Ovis aries: one gene and its partner. The protein of the gene in region 2 purifies or fractionates together with the protein of the main gene of each other region. This does not show direct contact. Links are inferred from orthologs where the notes say so. Each region holds a gene or a part of one and is shown on either strand. Other genes may lie near its edges.

Region 1 (11,029 bases), on a different chromosome or scaffold from region 2:
CCAACAAATTAGCACCCACATTATATAAAGACCTCAAAGAATCAACCAACCAAAAAGGACAACCAACACAGCAGAAAAATGAACAGAAGGCTTAAACAGGCAAATTTAGGCAAAAAATGGCTAATAAATTCATGAACAGAGACTTAATTTCACTTTTATTTAGGGAAATACAGTTTAAAACCACAATGAGATTCTATTTTACACTCGCCAGATTGGAAACAACTGATAGTCTGTCAAAACCCAGTGTCAAAACCAAGTTTAGACTAAGATGTGGAGAACCCAAAATACACACTGCCTGTGGGAGTGCAATCAGTACAACTACTTTTGAAAATAATTTGTGATTATAGTGTTGAACATTCACATGCCTGTGACCCAGCAATCTCATACTTAACTATCTACCCCAGAAAATTCTTGCCTATACACTGGCAGACAAGGACAAACATGTTTTGTTGCCTAAATAGAAAAACCTGGAGACAAATCTCCTGGTCATCACTAGTAGGATGGGTAAGTAAACAGTTGTACTCTCAGAAGAGAACACTACATAGCAGTGGAAATAAAACACTTACCAGCCATGGGAGAAAAACAGGTAACACTCACTAACATGAACCTACTGATGAGTGGAAGTCACACATGAATACGTGTGTTAAAATGCAATTTATGCTCAGTTTAAAGCAAATCTAACAATGTATTATTTGAGATTACAAACATATATGGCAAAATGATATAGAAAAGCAAGGAAATAGTAAATCAAAACTCAGGATACTTGTCACCTCTTAATGAGGGAGGGGAGGGAATGGGAGCAGGGCAGGGAACACAAGAGACTTCAAAGGCAACGGTAATATTCCTTTTATTCTGGGTGGTGGCTACACAAGTGTTCCTACCTTTATATGTTACGGAAGTGCTTTTGTATCTTTTTAAGATTTAATTAAAGACAACTGAAAAAAATGAGTTTGCTGGCCCAACAGTTTTTCCAATCACAGAGACAATGAGAATATTTTATAAACAACCAGGAAATGTCTCCAAGGAATAAAAGAAATCCTTCCTTATTAAACACTCACCTGTGGCACACAAAAAACAATTCTTTTTCTTTTTTCCTGCCTTGCAGACATTGACAATACTCAGCAGGCGTTCGTCATTTGGAGTAAAAATGTCTCTTTGTAATGCATGCTTGATTGCTGTCATCTTTACTCAGCTGAAAAATTCAGAGTATAGATTATTACATTTGTCAAAATCCTTCTTCTTATATTGTTCCATTTAGGATTAGGAAAAGACCTTATTTATGGTTAATAAGCATGGGGAAATAATTTCACACATTTGTACACCTACATCATAAAGATAAAAAGCTGTGTGTTTGGAAAAGAAATTAGAGAACCAGTATTATCAAACTCTAAGATCTTTTGATGTGCTCACCAAATACTAAATATTTTTTTAAAAGATTTAAGAAAAATTAAAAGGCCCATTCCCAATATTTAAATATAAATTTCCTATATAAATAACTTTTACAATTCAACAACAAAAAAACAACCCAATTAAAAATTGAGCAAAGCGTTTGGGAGACATCTCTCCAAGGAAGACATATGAATGGTTAAAAATGACATGGAAAGATGCTCAACATCATTAGCCATTAGGGAATCATAAATTAAAACAATGAGATACCTACCACTTTACACCTGCTAGGATGGCTAAAATTAGAAAGACAAGTGTTGGTAAGGGAACTCTCATATACTCCTGATGATTGTAAGATACTGCAGCTGCTCTGGAAAATAATTTGGTGGTTCCTCAAATGGTTAAATGTGAATTTACCACATGACCCAGCAATTCCACTCCTAGGTATATACTTAAGAGAGCTGAAAATTATGTCCACACAAAAACATGCCCATAAATGTCCACTGCAGCATTATTCACAATAGCCAAAAGTGGAAACATCTCAAACGTCCTGGGGAACAACAAAATGAAACATATCCATACAGTGGCATATTATTTGGCCATAAAAAGGAGCAAAGTACTGATACATACTACTGACACACAGATGAATCCTAAAGACATTATGTTAAGTGAAAGAAGTCAGCTGCAAAGGGCCACATATTTCATGATTCCATGTATATGAAATGTCCAGAGTAGGCAAATCCACACAGACAAACTGATTTCCGGTTGCTAGGGGTAGGGGGCAAGCAGGCATGACTGCTAATGTGTATGGGGCTTCTTTTGGGGCTGATGAATATGTCCTTCAATTAGACAGTATTGATGGGTGTATAACCCTGTGAATATACTGAAAACCACTGACTTATATACTCGAAAAGGGTGAATTTTATGGTATATTAATTATATCTCAAAAAAGCTGTTGTTAGAGAATAGTTTTCTACTCGTCTTCCTTTTCTCATCTAATTCAATGTCCTCTTTTCAAATATCAACTTAAATATTTTTTAAACATCTCTTTTCAAGTTTATTTGTTAAATATACTGAATACATATTTGTTTGTGTGTGTGTGTGTGTGTGTGTGTGTGTGTGTGTGTGTGTGTGTGTATGTATTACTATTTCCAATGAAGGTGTATAGTATTTAATACATGTGAGCTGGTTACAAAATTAACTTCTACTCCTAACACTGTTTCTATGGGAAAATGAAGAAATTATGAGTTTTAAATAAATGACTTTGAATGTATTTTTATAATACAATGACTCTTTTGAAAACTCCTCTATTTTACTCAATTTGTAACATTTCTATCGCTGCTCCAACTAAAAAAAATTGCTTTTCTCAGAAAAACCACATCTTCCCACTTCCATCCCTATTCCCCCTCATCTCAGCCTCCAGTCTTCTGATCTCCCCTTCCATCCTGTTCTCTTAGAACATCTGGCCTCTCCAAGCTTAATTTCTTTCCCAGTGTAGCCTGGAGGCAGTGTTTATTTCCATACACCCACACCATTCCTTTCAATGATCTTGCTCCATTTGTAGACCAGTTCACCCTGCTCATCAATTTCCATCAACTGTCTTTTTTTCTCTCCTTCTCCTGGGCTACCATATGGCACTTAAGAAGGTCTCATATCCCTGTCCATTGTACTCATTACAACTTTTAAATCCAATCGATGCTAAACTTTCAATGTTGCTCAGCAATTCCTTAACACTTCCTTTGATGATCCCTCTTCCTACTCCATCGGTGTTGCAAATCCTTACTTCTCTCCTTCAACCCCTAATTCTGTCAGTCTACTCCCTCTCTGCAAATGACTTCACCATCTACCCTTCACCATCTATTAAACACCATAGCATCTGGTTACCTCTTTGCAAGCTTCCATAACCCCAAAACTCCCAACAAATAATATTAAAACATATCTTGCATCATAATATGCCCTTGCTCAACACTTCTTCATCTTGCTACATTCCATTTTAACCTCCATTCCACCCATTATAAACTGTCTATGTTACTATCTCTTCATATGTTCTAGATCCTACACATATGTTAAAAGCTCAACTCTATCCTTTGCTGAAGCCACCCTGGATACTGGCCAGTTTGCTTTTCTAATTCCAGGCTCTTGTTCATGCAATTTCTTTTTTCTCAAATTCTTTTCTCCCTGGAAAATTCCAATTCATCCTGCTAAAATAAGACCTCTTTTGTGAAATAGTCACACACGCCAAAAAAAAAAAAAAAATCCTTTCCTACTTCTCTAACATTTCCCCTCTACTCTGTTAACACAGCACTTACAAACCATATTGTCCAGCTAGTTGTATTCTTTTCCCCATTAAGAGTATTTCCTAGCAGGCAAGGCCTGTGTCTTATTCATCCTTATATTCCCAGAACTTGGCAAAGACATAGCAGACAGTAAATAAATTCAACAAAATGAAGGTACCAAATAACCTGACAGCTAAAAGCATTTTCCTAATTTTCCTTCATCTACACATAATTTATCCTTTCTGGTCCTACTGCCAAAGTACAATCGAGGTTCACACCAACTACATCTATTTAACACCATAGCATCTGGTTACCTCTTTGCAAGCTTCCATAACCCCAAAACTCTCAACAAATAATATTAAAACATACCTTTCATCATAATATGCCCTTGCTCAACACTTTCCTAATGCTCCCAAAGACAAACCTTTCACTCCAAGCCCTCTGATCATTCTAGCCTTTAAATCTTTGCTTAGGATATTTTCCATGCAGAGGGTATCATCTACCCAAATCCTAACAACATTCCATAATTTACATGAACTTGATTCAACACAGTCAATCCTAAAGGAAATCAGTCCTGAATGTTCAGTGAAAGGGCTGATGCTAAAGCTAAAACTCCAATACTTTGGCCATCTGATGCAACAAACTGACTCCTTGAAAAAGACCCTGATGCTGGGAAAGGTTGAAGGAAGAAGCAGATGACAGAGGATGAGATGGTTGGACGGCATCACTGACTTGATGGAGATAAGTTTGAGCAAGCTCTGGGAGTTGGTGATGGACATGGAATCCTGGCACGCTGCAGTCCATGGGGGTCACAGAGTCAGACATGACTGAGCAAATAAACTGAACTGATTCAATACAGACCTTAACCCAAATTGATCTCTCCTCTCAACTGCTATATCACTTATTGCATTTGTTAAACATACAACACTTGCTGTCCAACTGGTTCATAAAGTCACAAGTTCCTGGATCTCAAGAACTCTCTTCAAGGGACGGGGGGATGGCTGGGGGAGGAGGTGTTTTAGCAGTTTCATGTTCTTTGTAAGTGCTAAACAAATACCTCTTGAGGAAATCTAAGCTGAATTATAAAAACTGGTTAAATGAATAAATGACTATTAGTGGTCAGCATCTATCACCCAATCCCTCTCTGGTCAAAAGCAAGGACTGACAATATGGTTAAGTGGTAAAAACAAGAGAGGAACTCAGCACAGTTGATAAAGGAGTTAGGCAGAATGAAAAGCACTACACATTCAGCAAACACTGATGCCTACTAAGTGCGAGGCAAAATTCTAGGTACCATGGTGAATATGACAGACATATCCAGGAAGACTTCCCTGGTGGTTCCGATGGTAGAGCGTCTGTCTACAATGCGGGAGACCCGGGTTCAATCCCTGGATTGGGAAGAACCCCTAGAGAAGGAAATGGCAATCCACTCCAGTACTATTGCCTGGAAAATCCCACGGACAGAGGAGCCTGGTAGGCTACAGTCCATGGGGTTGCAAAGAGTCGGACACGACTGAGCGACTTCACTTCACTTCTTCATCCACGAAGACAGGAAGATTCTTGCCTCCAACGGCATCTACTTTATAAAGATGGCGTGAGTAACTCTCCAGTGTTTATAATACTTTTTTGGTAAGTCAGTGAATAAATCATTAGAAGTTCTTTAAAACTATTTTCCAGGTATAAGAACCCATGTCTGACCACGTTCCAGAGACAGTCAGCCACAATACTCTATGTCGGTCCTTGTTTCCTTAAATCCAGCCGGATCACTACAGGATGTGGCAGATAACTTGTAAGCAGTACTGTCGTGAGAGTGAGTGCGTGTGGGTAAGTACCCTGTCTGCTATCCAGACACCTTAGTGCATGGAGCACTGAAGATAACACGCCACAGCATGGCAACAGGGAAATGCACTTATGAGATTTAGAAGAAAATGAAAGAAAGAAAGAAAGTGAAGTCGCTCAGTCGTGTCCGACTCTTTGCGACCCCATGGACTGTAGCCTATCAGGTTCCTCCATCCATGGGATTTTCCAGGCAAGAATACTGGAGTTGCCATTTCCTTCTCCAGGAGATCTTCCTGGCGCAGGGATTGAACCCGGGATCTTCCCGACCCAGGGATTGAACCGGGTCTCCCGTATTGCAGGCACACACTTTACCATCTGAGCTACCAGGGAAGAAGAAAATGAGGATTTGGACAAAGAAAGGGAAGGTACTGCCAGACCCTCCCCTCCTGGTCCAAGCCAAAGAACAAACTGTTCAAGACCATTTTTTACGATGAAATCTGATTTTCATGGGCGGAACCGGAAAAGGACGTCTGGGCTGCCCTCCCAGCCCCCCAGGATAACAAGGGGGTAACGGGATCCTCCCACCGGCCTCTCCGCCTTACCCAGAAGGGCTGGGAAAGAGAAGGGGGCTTTGACGGCGGAGTGAGCAGTACCCAGCCCCCGGCGCTAGACCAGCACCGGGACTGAGGAGCCGCCTCAGACCTTGGCGTCCACCCCTCCGTTCATTTGTCCGCCGCCGCCAGGACCGCCCGGCAGCCGCGGCCGAAGGCTTACCGCAAGGCCGGACCGAGCCCGGCTGTGCCGAGGCGGGTCCTCCAAGACGGAGACCGGACAGGACTGGGGCGGCCACCGTTACTAAGATGAACCCCTCAACTAAGCAGTGAACTGGAAGCAGCCGTCCGGCCACCACTTCCTATATCCGGGCACGTGACACACCTCCCTGCCGGAAGTCGGTTGGGTTGAGAAGGAAGCAGTCGCGGCTTTGGCCTTGGTAAGGGGGTGGGGTCAGGTCTCTCCGGAGGGGCGTGTCTAGGACAGGCAGGAGCGGGCCTTGTCGCTGGAGACTGACTCCGAACCTGGGGGATTTGGTGTGCGTATTCCTTTCTCTAGAAGACTTATTTATTCAGCTATTTTCAACAGTTCACTGAAGAAGAGATCTAATCAAATGTTTTCTTTTTTGCACGCCTAAAGTTCAGTTAAATCTAGATCAGACCAGTTCAGTTCAGTTCAGTCGCTCAGTCGTGTCCCTGTGGACTTTGAGACCCCATGGACTGCAGCTTGCCAGGCTTCCCTGTCCATCACCAACTCCCATGAGCTTGCTCAAACGCATGTCCTTCGAGTCGGTGATGCCATCCAACCATCTCATCCTCTCTCATCCCCTTCTCCTCCTGCCTTCAATCTTTCCCAGTCTCAGGGTCTTTTCCAGTGAGTCAGTTCTTCGTAGCAGGTGCCAAAGTATTGGAGTTTCAGCTTCAACATCAGTCTTTCCACTGAACATTCAGCACTGATTTCCTTTAGGATTGACTGGTGCGATCTCCTTGCAGTCCAAGGGACTCTCAAGAGTCTTCTCCAACACCACAGTTCAAAAGCATCAATTCTTGGGTGCTCAGTTTTATTTATAGCCCAACTCTCACGTCCATACATGACCACTGGAAAAACCATAGCCTTGACTAGACAGACCTTTGTTGGCAAAGTTATATCTCTGCTTTTAAATATGCTGTCTAGGTTGGTCATAACTTTTCTTCCAAGGAGTAAGCATCTTTTAATTTCATGGCTGCAGTCACCATCTGCAGTGATTTTGGAGCCCCCCAAAATAAAGTCAGCCACTGTTTCCACTGTCTCCCCATCTATTTGCCATGAAATGATGGGACCGAATGCCATGATCTTCGTTTTCTGAATGTTGAGCTTTAAGCCAGCTTTTTCATTCTCCTCTTTCACTTTCATCAAGAGGCTCTTTAGTTCCTCTTTGCTTTCTGCCATAAGGGTGGTGTCATCTGCGTATCTGAGGCTATTGATATTTCTCCCGGCACTCTTGATTCCAGCTTGTGCTTCATCCAGCCTGGCATTTCACATGATATACTCTGCATATAAGTTAAATAAGCTGGGTGACAAGATATAGCCTTGACATACTCCTTTCCCAATTTGGAACCAGTCTGTTGTTCTGTGTCCAGTTCTAACTGTTGCTTCTTGACGTGCATACAGATTTCTCAGGTGTCAGGTAACATGGTGTGGTATTCCCATCTCTCGAAGAATTTTCCACAGTTTTTTGTGATCCACACAGTCAAAGGCTTTGGTGTAGTAAATAAAGCAGAAGTAGATGTTTTTCTCAAACTCTCTTGCTTTAAATCTAAATCTAGATACTTGCAGGTTATAGCATGGAGAGTTTAAATGAGTTAAATCAGAATGGGGGAGGGGGCAGGAGGTATCTTGCTGGGGCCAAGATAACAGCACTTTTTTCTTCTTCTTTCTTTCTTAATTTATTTTAGGCCCCACAGTATGCAGGATCTTCTTTCTCCAATCAGGGAAGGAACCTGTACCCCCAGGAGTGGAAGCATGGAGTCTTAACCACTGGACCACCAGGGAAGTCCCCACCAGCACATTTAATATCTTCCAGGAGGAGTTTCATATGCTGTAGAGGTCCACTGATGTAGTGACATTGACATTTAAAAATTGTTCTGTAGAGCAGCTTCTTGAGGATCATCTGAAAGTTCTTTAGAAAATGCAGCTCTCAGGCTTACTTCAGATCTACTGAATGGTAATCTGTGTCTTAACAGGATGACACCTATGCAGGTGTAAGTTTAGGAAGCATAGATAATGGCAATGTTGTTGGTTGCAAGGCAAGTGATTTATTTAGTCCATATTCCTAGCACCTATTTTATGCCAGATACTTTGATGGAGGTGTGGAGGTGATTTGATATGACTCTTACCCTGAAGAAGTTCATAGTATTGTAGGGCCAAATAAGATATACATATAAATACATATAAAATAAGACAAAATAAATGACCAAAAAGAGTTACAGGCCAGATAAATGTGTTGGTATTTCAAAGGAGTGATTTCTTTACTTCAGCTCAATTCCATCCTTTGCAAGGGTTCTGCAGGAACCCTTTGGTGCAAGCATTTGTTTATTTAAGAAACAGAGCCACTTAAGTGCCAGGGACTTGAGATACAAAGATGGGGATCCCACTGAGAAGGGGGTCTGTCTCTCCCACTGTCATTGTAGAGACAGAATTAAATAGATGGATAAATTACAGTCTAGTGTGGTGAACCAAACAATAAAAGTAGAAAAAAGAGATGAAACACCATGGAAATGCAAAAGAGTGTGTAACTCACTCTTTCAAGATGGGTTCACTGAGAAAGGGACAAAATGAGATATGCAAAGTATCTTTCAGTGTGTATCTGAAGATATAATTTGGTAGAAAAATCTGCAGAAATAGTAGGGACCTGTTTGCTACTGAGATCAATATACTCTGGTCAATACTACTTGAAATGCTTTTCAGTTTCATTGAATGACTTCCCTTTTAAGAGCAGGATCTGATCTGATCTTTAAAAAGGCCTCTTGGGTCCTTCCTGTTCAGTCCCAGAACACTTACTGTAGTCACTCTATATGACAATTGCATGTGCTATTTTGTCATATTATTATTATTATTTTATCTTGTATGTTTACAGCCCTCTTCAGAGTTGAGAAGTGAATTGCCATTTCTCACTTCCTCTCCTGGATTCCTCTCAAAGTGGAGGCACAGTATTATATCTGGGGTTTTGATCCCAGGCAGCAAGAGTGAGAGATGAGGGAGGGGAAGTAAAAGAAGGAAGAGAGAGAGGCAGTATAAGGATGTGTTGTTCGGTTGGTTGCCACCATGTCTGTTTTCTTGATCCCTTAGTACCTTCTGGAAAAGTCATGAGGTGAGTGTCAAAACTGTCCACTGAAACCAAGAGTGGGAGAAGCATTTATCTGTCAGCTCCGGTCTACCTTTGATCAAACGTTAAGGCCCCAAGCCATTAACTACTCCACACTTCCCAAATGCACAGTCGTGAATGCCAAGCTGACTCCCGCATCAGAGAAGTCCTGAGGCAGGAGGGAAGAGGAACGGCACTGCCATATCGTACTTGCTTACAGTTCATCGGACTGTTTAGAACAGGTTGCCGCAGCAGTGGTTGGAATAAGTGGCTGAAGGATTTGAAATGGTGACAGAAGATATACAGATGGTGTCCATCAGTCCAGTCTTTGTACCACTCATACCTGCTTGGCCATTTAAGTCTAGTCCTTTACAGTCCCCTTCAAGGTGATGGACACCTGCAATCTCTGCAAAGACTTAATATAAGAGAGTTGATGCAATAACTCAAGGACTGGACAGCTTCAGTCCTTGCTGCTACACTGATGCCAAGACTGTGCTTGTTCTTATGAGCTCCCGGCTGTACTCCCCACCCTTACCTCCCTTCACCCTTGGCCAGCACATCACCTGATCTAGGTTGTTGGCTCAGTGAGGCAACTGGAACCTTCAGCTTTTGTTTCCCTCCCTCTCGTTGGGCCATGATTGTGTGACTGCCTGTTCAACTTTTCCCAAGATAAGCCTCTGTTGAATTCTTTGGATTCTAGATTTACCCACCCCCCGCCCCCCGCCATTGCTATTGTATAGCAACAATCCCAGATCCTTTGCTAATTATCCTTTGCTAATGACCTGCCTCTTGAGAAATTTGTATGCAGGTCAGGAAGCAACAGTTAGAACTGGACATGGAACAACAGACTGGTTCTAAATAGGAAAAGGAGTACGTCAAGGCTGTATGTTGTCACCCTGCTTATTTAACTTATATGCAGAGTACATCATGAGAAATGCTGGGCTGGAAGAAGCACAAGTTGGAATCAAGATTGCCGGGAGAAATATCAATAACCTCAGATATGCAGATAACACCACCCGTATGGCAGAAAGTGAAGAGGAACTAAAAAGCCTCTTGATGAAAGTGAAAGAGGAGAGTGAAAAAGTTGGCTTAAAGCTCAACATTCACAAAACGAAGATCATGGCATCTGGTCCCATCACTTCGTGGGAAATAGATGAAGAAACAGTGGAAACAGTGTCAGACTTTATTTTGGGGGGCTCCAAAATCACTACAGATGGTGACTGCAGCCATGAAATTAAAAGACACTTACTCCTTGGAAGAAAAGTTATGACCAACCTAGATAGCATATTTAAAAGCAGAGACATTACTTTGCCAACAAAGGTCTGTCTAGTCAAGGCTGTGGTTTTTCCAGTGGTCACGTATGGATGTGAGAGTTGGACTGTGAAGAAAGCTGAGGGCTGAAGAGTTGATGCTTTTGAACTGTGGTGTTGGAGAAGACTCTCAAGAGTCCCTTGGACTGCAAGGAGATCCAACCAGTCCATTCTGAAGGAGATCAGCCCTGGGATTTCTTTGGAAGGAATGATGCCAAAGCTGAAGCTCCAGTACTTTGGCCACCTCATGTGAAGAGTTGACTCATTGGAAAAGACTCTGATTCTGGGAGGGATTGGGGGCAGGAGGACAAGGGGATGACAGAGGATGAGATGGCTGGATGACATCACTGACTCGATAGATGTGAGTCTGAGTGAACTCCAGG
Region 2 (10,286 bases):
AGTGATGGGACTAGATGCCATGATCTTAGGGTTTTGAATGTTGAGTTTTAAGCTGGCTTTTTCACTCTCTTCTTTTACCTTCATCAAGAATCTCTTTAGTTCCTCTTTGCTTTCTGCCATTTGGGTGGTATCATCTGCATATCTGAGGCTATTGATATTTCTCCCCTCGATCTTGATTCTAGCTTCTGATTCATCTAGCCCGGCATTTCTCATGATGTATTCTGCATAGAAGTTAAATAAGTAGGGTGACATTATATAGCCTTGACGTACTTCTTTCCCAATTTTGAACCCAGTCTATTGTTCCATGTCTGGTTTAAATTGTTGCTTCTGAACCTGCATACAAATTTTTAGGAGGCAGTTAAGGTGGTCTGATATTCCTATCTCTTTAAGAATTTTCCACAGTTTGTTGTAATCCACACACACAGTCAAAGGCTTTAGAGTAGGTCAAGGAAGATTTTTTTTTCTGGAACTCTCTTGCTTTTTCTATGATACAACCAGTCCATCCTAAAGGAAATCAATCCTGAATAGTCATTGGAAGAACTGATGCTGAAGCTGAGACTCCAATACTTTGGCCACCTGATGCAAAGAACTGACTCAATGGAAAAGACCCTGATGCTGGGAAAGATTGAAGGCAGGAGGAGAAGGGGATGACAGAGGGTGAGATGGTTGGATGGCATCACCGACTTGATGGACATGTGTTTGAGTAAGCTCTGGGATTTGGTGATGGACAGGCAAGCCTGGCATGCTGCAGTCCGTGGGGTCACAAGGAATTGGACATGACTGAACAACTGAAATCAACTCAACTGAACTGAACAGATGTTGGCAATTTGATCTCTGGTTCCTCTGCCTTTTCTAAATCCAGCTGGTACATCTGGAAGTTCTTGGTTCACATACTGTTGAAGACTAGGTTGAAGGATTTTGAGCATTACCTTGCTAATTTGTGAAATTAGCACAACTGTATGGTAGTCTGAACACTCTTCGGCACTGCCCTTTGCGATTGGAATGAAAACAGACCTTTTCTAGCCCTGTGGCCATTGCTGAGTTTTCCAAATTGGCTGGCATACTGAGTGCAACACTTTATAACATCATCTTTTAGGATTTGAAATAGCTCAGCTGGAATTCCATCACCTCCACTAGTTTTGTTTGTAGCAATGCTTACTAAGGCCCACTTGACTTCACATTCCAGGATGTCTAACTCTAGGCAAGTGACCACACCACCATGGTTGTCTGGGTCTTTAAGACCTTTTTTTTTTTTAAAAAAAAAAGACCATTTTTGTATAGTTCTGTGTATTCTTGCCACCTCTTCTCACTCTTCTGCTTAGCATTTCTGTCCTTTATTGTGCCCATCTTTGCATGAAGTGTTCCCTTGGTAGCTCTTAATTTTCTTTAAGAGATCTCTAGTCTTTCCCATTCTGTTGTTTTCCTCTATTTCTTTGCACTGTTCACTTAAGGCTTTCTTATCTCTCCTTGCTATTCTTTGGAACTCTTTATTCAGTTGGGTATATCTTTCCCTTTTTCCTTTGCCTTTCACTTCTCTTCTCAGCTATTTATAAGCCCTCCTCAGAAAAGCATTTTGCCTTCTTGCATTTCTTTTTCTTGGGGATGGTTTTGGCCACCACTTCCTGTACAATGTTACAAACCTCTGTCCATAGTTCTTCAGGCATTCTATCAGATCTAATCCCTTGAATTTATTTGTTACGTCCACTGTGTAATTGTAAGGGATTTGATTTAGGTCATACCTGAATGCCCTAGTGGTTTTCAATATAAGTCTGAATTTTACAATAAGGAGTCAATAAAGTTAAATTGTGATAAACGTTGATGATCAAATAATTAATATCACTTTTAAAAATCTTATTTTTCATTTATCTGAGTAATACTGAACTAGTTTTGTTATAGTAAACATAGCAGCATTTTAAGTCAGAAAGTGAGACAGCATTAAGTCGGAAATTAAAAGATTAATTATATTGCAGTGTTGCAGGGAGGCTGAGTTAAGCCATTCAGGAGTTTAGCCGGGTCTGGCTTTTCATTTCTAATGTACTATAGGCTTCAAGTGCCTGTATTTTTTAGCTATTACCTTATGCTTATAGTGGGGTCTGAAAAGCTGAAGTTTTTTCTATGTTCCTGCTTTACCTCCATCTTCAAGCATCCCTGTTTGCCTTTGCCAGGGGGTGGGGTGGGGGAGTGCGGGGAAAGGGTGTCTCTCCATGCTTCCCTACCCCAGTGGTTAACTACTGCTGCTTATTACTTGGTGCTAGGCTAGTTGTTGAGACTTGGGTGGTCTTTTGTCCTGATCCAGCCTAAATTTTAGGCCAAGTTTCTTCTCCCTGGGGTTGGAGATAGGGCTTTCTTATGCCATGGTAGTCAAACTGCTTCATAACTGTGGTTCATTTTTAGCAGGAGTTTGCTCCTTTTCATTAGCTTACCAGACATCTGCTTTGAGTAGATGTAGGATTTCTGGGCCCAATGTCATTTTCTGCCTCCCTCCCAGGAGACAAGGGTTTTTATTTCCATACTTCCCTAGTAACACTGGACTCTACCTGTATCATGGTAGACTATTTCCTATCACCCCTGTCTTCAGCACCGACAGCTAGGTTTTCTGTTCCTTTCTTAAATGCAATGGAATTTCGTCTGAGCCTTAGATGTTAAGAGGGCTTGCTGCCCCTGCTCCAGCAGCCTAAGACCTTTAAGAAAAGGGTCTCGGAAAGCAGGTGAGGCTTTGGGCATGTCACCCAGTAGCAGCCTGTCATCTCCTGTTTGCCTATGCCACAGAGGTATCTTTTCAGGTCTCCTGCCCTGCTCCCAAACTTTCTCATATTTGGTAGAGCTCTAACTTCTAAAGTTCCTAGATATTCTGACAGGCAACTCACACTTCACCCTTAAGAATCTGTTAAAATTTTAGTTGATTTTTTTCCAGCCACTTTTGTCTCTTGTGCTCTCAAAGATAAAATGGTTTATTTCACAGATACTGAGTCCCCTCGATTTATTTGGTTATCTTGAGGCCTCAACTATCTGATAGGCTCAAGAAAAACGATTTTCATAGATTACTTTGCAATTTTTTGTTGTTAAGATGGAAGAAACGTTCTCATGGAACTTTTTATATTCTAAGTGAAACCAGAACTCTCATCTGCTTATTTTCACAAATGAATTTTATTCATTTTCTAAATTATGAATAAAAATTACACTAGATTTTTGACTAGAATTTTACTAAACTTCAGAGGGATTTACATTATAGTATTTTGTCTTTCCATCCAGAAATACTGGTATTTCTACTCATTTATAGAAAAAGCACACTCCAGGTTCCTTATGTTATGGAGCCAATTATTTAATTGATTTTAACATAAATTTTGTATTATCAAAACACAAATAGAGGTGGCTTTTGGTATTAAAACACAGATAATAGCGAAATTCAAAATTGTTAGGCTAGAACCTGATAATCGTGTAGATATTGAGAATCATAGCAGAAATTTAACATTATTTTAGTTCTAAGACCCCTAGGAGACAAGACCAAAACGGAAATAGTAGGTTATATTCTCTTAGTTTAATAGAAAGAATGCAGTTTTATTAGAATTCTGGCACTGAATCCCAAGTGGACTTTTTAAATGTAGTTACTTTTAGAAATAAGAAAGAAGCTGAATTCAAACACTGGTAGAAAATAGTTGTTTTTCTATTGACCATTTCTTTCTCTCACCTTAATAAATTCCAAGAGCACACTTCCTGTGAGTGCATGCACGTTTGCTAAGTCATGTCTGCTTCTTTGAGATCCCATGGACTACAGCCCTCCAGGCTCCTCTGTTCATGGGATTTTCCAGGCAAGAAAACTGGAGTGGGTTGCCATTTCCTCCTCCAGGGGATCTTCCTGACCCAGGGATTGAACTTGTGCCTCCTGTGTTTCCTATATTGCAGGCAGATTCTTTACCACTGCGCTATCTGGGAGGCCTATTTAACAGAAAAATCAATAAATGTGAAAAGTTGAAGTAAACCTGACAAGTTTTTCAGAACAATTGTTGAAAATATTTATTGAGAAAACACCTTTAGTTGGAAAACAGCAGAAACAAAAAAAGAAATATCACATTTCAAATATATATTAATAACAGAATACAATGATGAATTTAGTTTCATAATAAAAGCCGTACCAATTTGTATGTGTGGCCAAGGATGGAGGTGTGGAAAAAGAAAAGAATTGAAATTGAGGTAGAAAATAACTCTTTGCCTATATCCATCAAGTCTTGTTTAGAGAAGAACCTCTAGAAAGCCATGAGTTAAGGATAACACTAGTCTACTAGCATGTCAGAGGTAGAACCAATATAATCTATTTAAATATAGATATGTCATTCCTCCAGGTAACTCCTTTAAGGTGGTTTGGTTCCACCAATGAATAAAGTTCCTAATTCTATATTAAGTTCATCCTTTGGGACATCAATATCATCTCCTGCTTCTTCCCCAAGCTTCTTCCACCAGGGTGCTTGTATATGTTTCAGGGTGGTAAGATGGGCCTGCTTGGCTTTGGCTGCCACAGGCCTGGATCTACTTAGGAAGAGCTCAGGATCTTTTCCTTCTGCCTCCTTCAGACTTGGTGATTCTGTAGTAACAAAAAATAAACAGGTGAGTGGAAGAGTTCTGTACCAGACAAACAGAAACTTAGAAACTGCAAAGCTGGAACTCTGCAATAGCAGCAGAAACTAGGTTCTAACTCTGAGTCTATTGTTGCCAGCTGTAGTTGGCATGTGACTATTCACAAGATGTAGCCCATCCTTCTGTGTTTAAAGGGAAAGAATAAAGAGGTAGATATTTTTTAGATGGTTTATTTAAAAGAGTAGGAACTTAAAAACAAATAGCAGAATTCTTACAGATGAGAGGCTCAGTTCTAGTCACCTATCCATTCAAAAATACAAAATTTACAAGTAAATGGCACTAAACAGAGGATCCTGACCCCTTCTGCTCCACAAGTAATAAGTGTTTCAGAACCTGTCTGAAACACTGGCTTCATGGACGAGATCTCTCATTTAATGTATCAGCAGTTGTGAGAAGTAGGTGAATTAATTTTTGTGAAAATGATTCATTAAAAATATAAAATGGCACCATAAAATACTGTCATTATCTACTTTTAAAGTAGGCTTAAGAAGCTTTTCTTATTATATAACAGAATCTGGCTAGTAGGGCTCAGCATCTTTGAAATTAATAACTTTGTCTGAGTTGGTACATATGAATGATAGAAAGGCTGAGGGAAGCAGTCAGGAAGGTTATGGGATTTGCATCAGTTGAAAACATTGTGTGCTGATATGATCCAGAAGTAGAAATTTCTGAGGATAGGAAATGAGCTAATAGACCACTAAATGCTATTTTCCTTCTGAAGATTATGGCTGTCACCAAAATCTTGCATAGGGTGTTCCTTTTAGGAAACAAAAATGGAATGAGCACATACTCATCAACTGTTCAATGTTGGTGTTGATCTGAGCCATCAGTGCCTCCCTGTGCTGTTGAGATCTCTCTTCTAGAGCCCTGCCCAAGAAGTAGTGTTGCAGTCGTTCTTGTGCTTGGGAATGGAGCTCCCTGCTGGTCACATCTGATATCTGAGAGCCCTGGGAACAAACGACAGAAGAAAATTGTCACACGAAGGACACATATATCAAAGTATGTTTCACTTTCACTAGTTGCTGCATGTGGGTTCAGTAGTTCTGGCTCCTGGGCTCTAGAGCACAGACTCAGTAGTTATGGTGGATGGGCTTAGTTGCCCCAAAGCATGTGGGATCTTCCTGGACTAGAGACTGAACCCATGTCTCCTGCATTGGCAGGCAGATTCTTTACCACTGAGCCATCAGGGAAGCCCGATCTTGTACTCTTGAACAAACATTAAATAACTTCTTAAAAGCAGATTTCATTGAAAATGCAAGTGGGCAAAATTCTTTTTGATATACTCCTATACCTCACTTCCTCACATAGTGTAATATTCTGGGAGAAGAGGTAAGATTGAGGAATCACAGTGAAAATTACAAATGGTTTGGTAAAGACACTGGCCTGGAGGAGTAACAGGACCAATCCCTTTGTTCTGAACCCCACCTGAGAAACTGCCTTACTTCTTATCCTATTCCTTCTCTCAAACTTATCTAAGCCATAATATTATATAGCTTCTAATTTCAAAGAACATGGGACAGAATCATTCAAAGGATCATATTCTTCTGGCTAGTTAGCTACTTTAAAGGGAACTGACCTAATTATTAATATTTAGAACAAGGATGACATAACTTCAACACTGAAACTGATAAAAGTTTCTAACACTACAGTTTTCTCAGGTATTCCAGTTCCTGGATCATGGATGCTGCCTTGTTCTAACTAACATCTTACTTGTCAGCCACAGAGTAACAGTTGTACTAGGGCATGGCTAAAGCAGTACTTCTTTTTTAAATATAAGAATGCATCAGAATCATGCACAGTGCATTAATAAAAAATAGAGATCAAAGCCCTAAACAATAAGGGCTAAAATTACAAAACTCTTAGAAGAAAAGATAGAGGGAAAGCTTTATGATATTAGATTTGGCAATGATTTCTTTAATATGACACTGTGAAGGTACAGACAACCGCAAAAATTAGACAAATTATACTTCATCAAAATGAAAAAGTTTTGTGCATCAAAGGACACTATCAATAGAGTAAAAGGCAGCCCACAGAATGGAAGAAAATATTTGCAAATCATACATCTGATAAGGAATTAATATCCAGAATATACAGAGAATTCCTAAAACTCAACACTAAAAAAAAAAAAAACCTGATTAAAAATGGGTAAAGGACTTCAATTGAAATTTCTCCAAAGAAGGATATATAAATAAGCAATAAGCACAAAAGAGATGTTAAAAATCACTAATTATTACAGAATGTAAATAAACCCAAATCACAATACCACTTCATGTTCATTAGGATGTGAAAATAATAAATGTTGATAAGGATGTACCAACAGTCTCGCTGATGCAGTATGGAAAACCACTAAGTTGAAGTGAAGTGTCCTTTACTATTGACTTTACGGTCCACACAATTAAGACTCCAAAGCCATAGTAAAGTCAAGGTAATGCCATGGTAAGGCTACAATAAAGCCATTGCATTACCTTATGCCAACAATAAATGTACACATACAACTGAGACACTTATTTGTTGGTGAGTATCACACACTGCAATAATGTAACACAAAAGCCTACACACTGGATGTCTTCTGATATAGTCATCCACTTGTTGTTTCAGTTCAATTCTGCGTGCATCAGTGAGTTCTCTGAGTCCAGGCCAAGGAGCAAATTGTTTCTTTTTCTTACGACATTTTGCTAAGAATTTAAGAGTCTGGGGAAAAAAAAACCAAAAACAAAACTTGTGATTTTTCTTCCCTGACTGATAGAACTATTTTCTTTCTACAACAATATATAGTAGGACAACACTGTAACAGTTGTTAACTTATAGTGTGTATAGAGGGAGAGATGACAGATGTGACAGAAGACAATAACTTTATCATTATAATCTTTTGTGGTGTTTTAATATTTTATAAGGAAATATTCATGTATTATTTTTACAGAAAGCAAAAAAGAGAAAAAAACAGGGAACCAGCTCTGGGTTCTAGTCTAAGTTCTAGTCCCTTATAAACCTGTTCGATTTTGGGCAAGTCACTCAATCTCCATAAGACAGGTTCTATGTCTACAGAAAACAGGGACCCCCAATTCTACTTAGCCAAAAGATAGTAAAGATCAAGGAGACACTATATTAGAAAAAGTTTGGTAAACAAATGTGCTTCCTTTTGTTCTTCAGAATGAATTCCTGATAAGAAATCTTATAACAGGCAAGATTAGGAGACAAGACATTATTTTGTCCATTTTTTTTCACTCTTCTTTGTTCTACGTTCACATTATTAAAGGCAAAAGTTGGAAAATTATGGCCCACAGATCAAATCCAGCTGCTATCTGTTTTTGAGTAGCTGGAGAAGAATGATTTTTTTACATTTTGAAAGTGAAGTGCAAGTGTTAGTTGCTCAGTTGTGTCCGATTCTTTGCGATCCCATAGACTGTAGCCTGCCAGGCTCCTCTGTCCATGGAATTCTCCAGGCAAGAATATTGGAATGGGTACCTATTCCCTTCTCCAGGAGATCTTTCTGACCCAGGGATTGAACCAAGGTCACCTGCACCGCAGGCAGATTCTTTACTGTCTGAGTCACCAGACAAGCCCTTTTACATTTTATATGATTATGAAGTTCAAAAGGAAAAGAATTATTTTATGACATGAAAATTAAAGGAAATTCAAAATTCAGTGTCTACAAATGTTTATTGAAACACAATCATGCTCATTTGTTTCCATACTGTCTACAATTTCTTTTGTGCTACAACTATAGAGCTGAAGAGTTGCAAGAAAACTACATGACCTGCAACCTAATATATTTTACAATTTGATGCTTTCCAAAAATTTGTTGATGTAACTCTATTGTTTAAAGTATCAGTTTTAGAAGAACTGTTAAAATTTACAGCTCTCTGCCGAGTTATCCTGTCCTCTCCGCTCAAAGACATCAACTTTAATTCTTTCAGGTTTTTCTACTGATGTTTATTTCTATCTACATTTTTGAGATTTTTTTCAGTAACAGGTATTATCTATTGATTTTCTTATATGAAAGGTAAGGACTTAGCTCTCTTTCACACATACTTTCTATATCTCTAAATATTCAATATTATTAAATCATAGTTTTAGTTATGTTCATGTTCAGTGTTTATGCCTAAAGGCTATTTATGATCATATAGTATATGATGATTACTTTTTTCTTCCTTGCATATTTTAATACATTAGAAAAATAAGCAAGGAATTAATAATTCTGTTATTTTCCTTATTTTTCTATGTATTTATCACTGATTATATATAACAACTTCTGCCCTAATTGTCCTTACAGTAAAACGTATCAGGCAATCTACCAAATTAATTTTCTTGGATATACATTCCGGAGCTTTTTGACCTGCTCCAATCTGGATCAATTGTTCTCTATTCTTGGTGTATAGCTATTATCCTGATATCCCCATTCACCATCATCTTGGTGACTCATCCCATTTTTCCTTTGTGTTTTCTGGATTCCTTTCTTGAGTTATTCCTTTGTTTCAGAGATTTGTGATGCATAAATATATCTTTATAGTCTATCTTTATTTTTAACTGATGGTTTGGTTGGATGCAGAATTCTAATTGGAAGTCATTTTCCCTCAAATATGTGTCAGCCTAACTCCAATACCTTTTAGCTTCCAATCATGTTGTTGAAGAGTACTTTTGTTCCCAGTGTATTTCACAGTAATGTGAAATAAATGTGAGTGTATTTCTGTCTTTGTAATGGACAGTTGGTCAGTCCTTTTGAACTAAACCACATGGTATTTGGTTCTGGGAAATCAAACTATTTTATTTTCTCTCCTTTTTTCCTTCTCTGTTTCACATGTTTGGATATGTGACCTCTTAGACTGGTTCTCTTTCCTCTTTCTCCAGATTTCACAGACCTTTTTTCCTATCCCTTTTATTATATCTTGTATTATTTTTTCTGGCAAATTTTATTATATTTGTTCCCTGTTATATAGCATCTTGATTTTGTTTCATGTATTATTTTCTTTTAGCTCTCTGAGAAAATAATACATTTAAAATGTCTTCTTATCCCTGCAATAGCTGTTTCCACCAAGTAGTATTATTCTGTTTGTGTGGCATTAGCTTTCCTCAGATGTCCAGTGATACTTTCAGCTGTTTAGAAATGCTGAGCATGAGGGTAGGGTTAATCTACTATGTACTTCTTTTTAGGGCTACTGAACTGGGCTGTTTCATTGGAGGACCTCAAAATGAGTTTAACTATTCTCTTGGACTGTTCAGATTTCCTCAAGAAAATACTTTCAATAGGATTTAAGCCTGGGTGATAGCACTGAGAGCTGAGAAGTAAAAAGGGGCTGGAGGTTTTCACATTAGTATATAAACTTTCCTTATGTTTTTACTATAGTACTCAAGCCTTCAACTGTGTTTTCATTCTATTGAGAGATTTTTCTCCTTTTCTTCTGTTCTTCCCTTTTCTTGATTTTTCTTCCTTATACTTCCTATCCTTCCTCTCTCTACCTCTTGTTTTTAGTACCAAGTCAGGTTTATGATGCTATGCTGGGAACTCAAAGTTTCCAGAACAGGGGAATTTTTGCCCTTAGATCAGATAAAGTTCACCTTGACATCTCTTTCTCTGTCTCTTCTTCATTCTTTGTTATTTTAGGACTCTCTGAGATTATATCTATCACCAAATGTTTATTTTTTTCAACTGCCAA

Evidence for each region.
Region 1: the proteins of IQCB1 (region 2) and EXOC1 purify together in Homo sapiens (affinity purification with mass spectrometry; 3 studies listed by BioGRID and IntAct, counting the BioPlex papers as one, with this or other methods). This does not show direct contact. The link is inferred for Ovis aries from reciprocal best matches to the Homo sapiens genes IQCB1 and EXOC1.

The regions. Positions count from the first base shown.
Region 1 is NC_056059.1:71,995,061-72,006,089, reverse strand, and holds the start of EXOC1 (exocyst complex component 1), read right to left. Parts: upstream 6,371-11,029; 5' UTR 6,216-6,370; exon of another isoform or gene 6,028-6,215; intron 1,193-6,027; 5' UTR 1,183-1,192; coding exon 1,059-1,182; intron 1-1,058.
Region 2 is NC_056054.1:187,094,276-187,104,561, forward strand, and holds the end of IQCB1 (IQ calmodulin-binding motif-containing protein 1), read right to left. Parts: intron 7,324-10,286; coding exon 7,192-7,323; coding exon of another isoform or gene 7,188-7,191; intron 5,580-7,187; coding exon 5,423-5,579; intron 4,580-5,422; coding exon 4,350-4,579; 3' UTR 3,989-4,349; downstream 1-3,988. UniProt on the Homo sapiens protein: Involved in ciliogenesis. The function in an early step in cilia formation depends on its association with CEP290/NPHP6.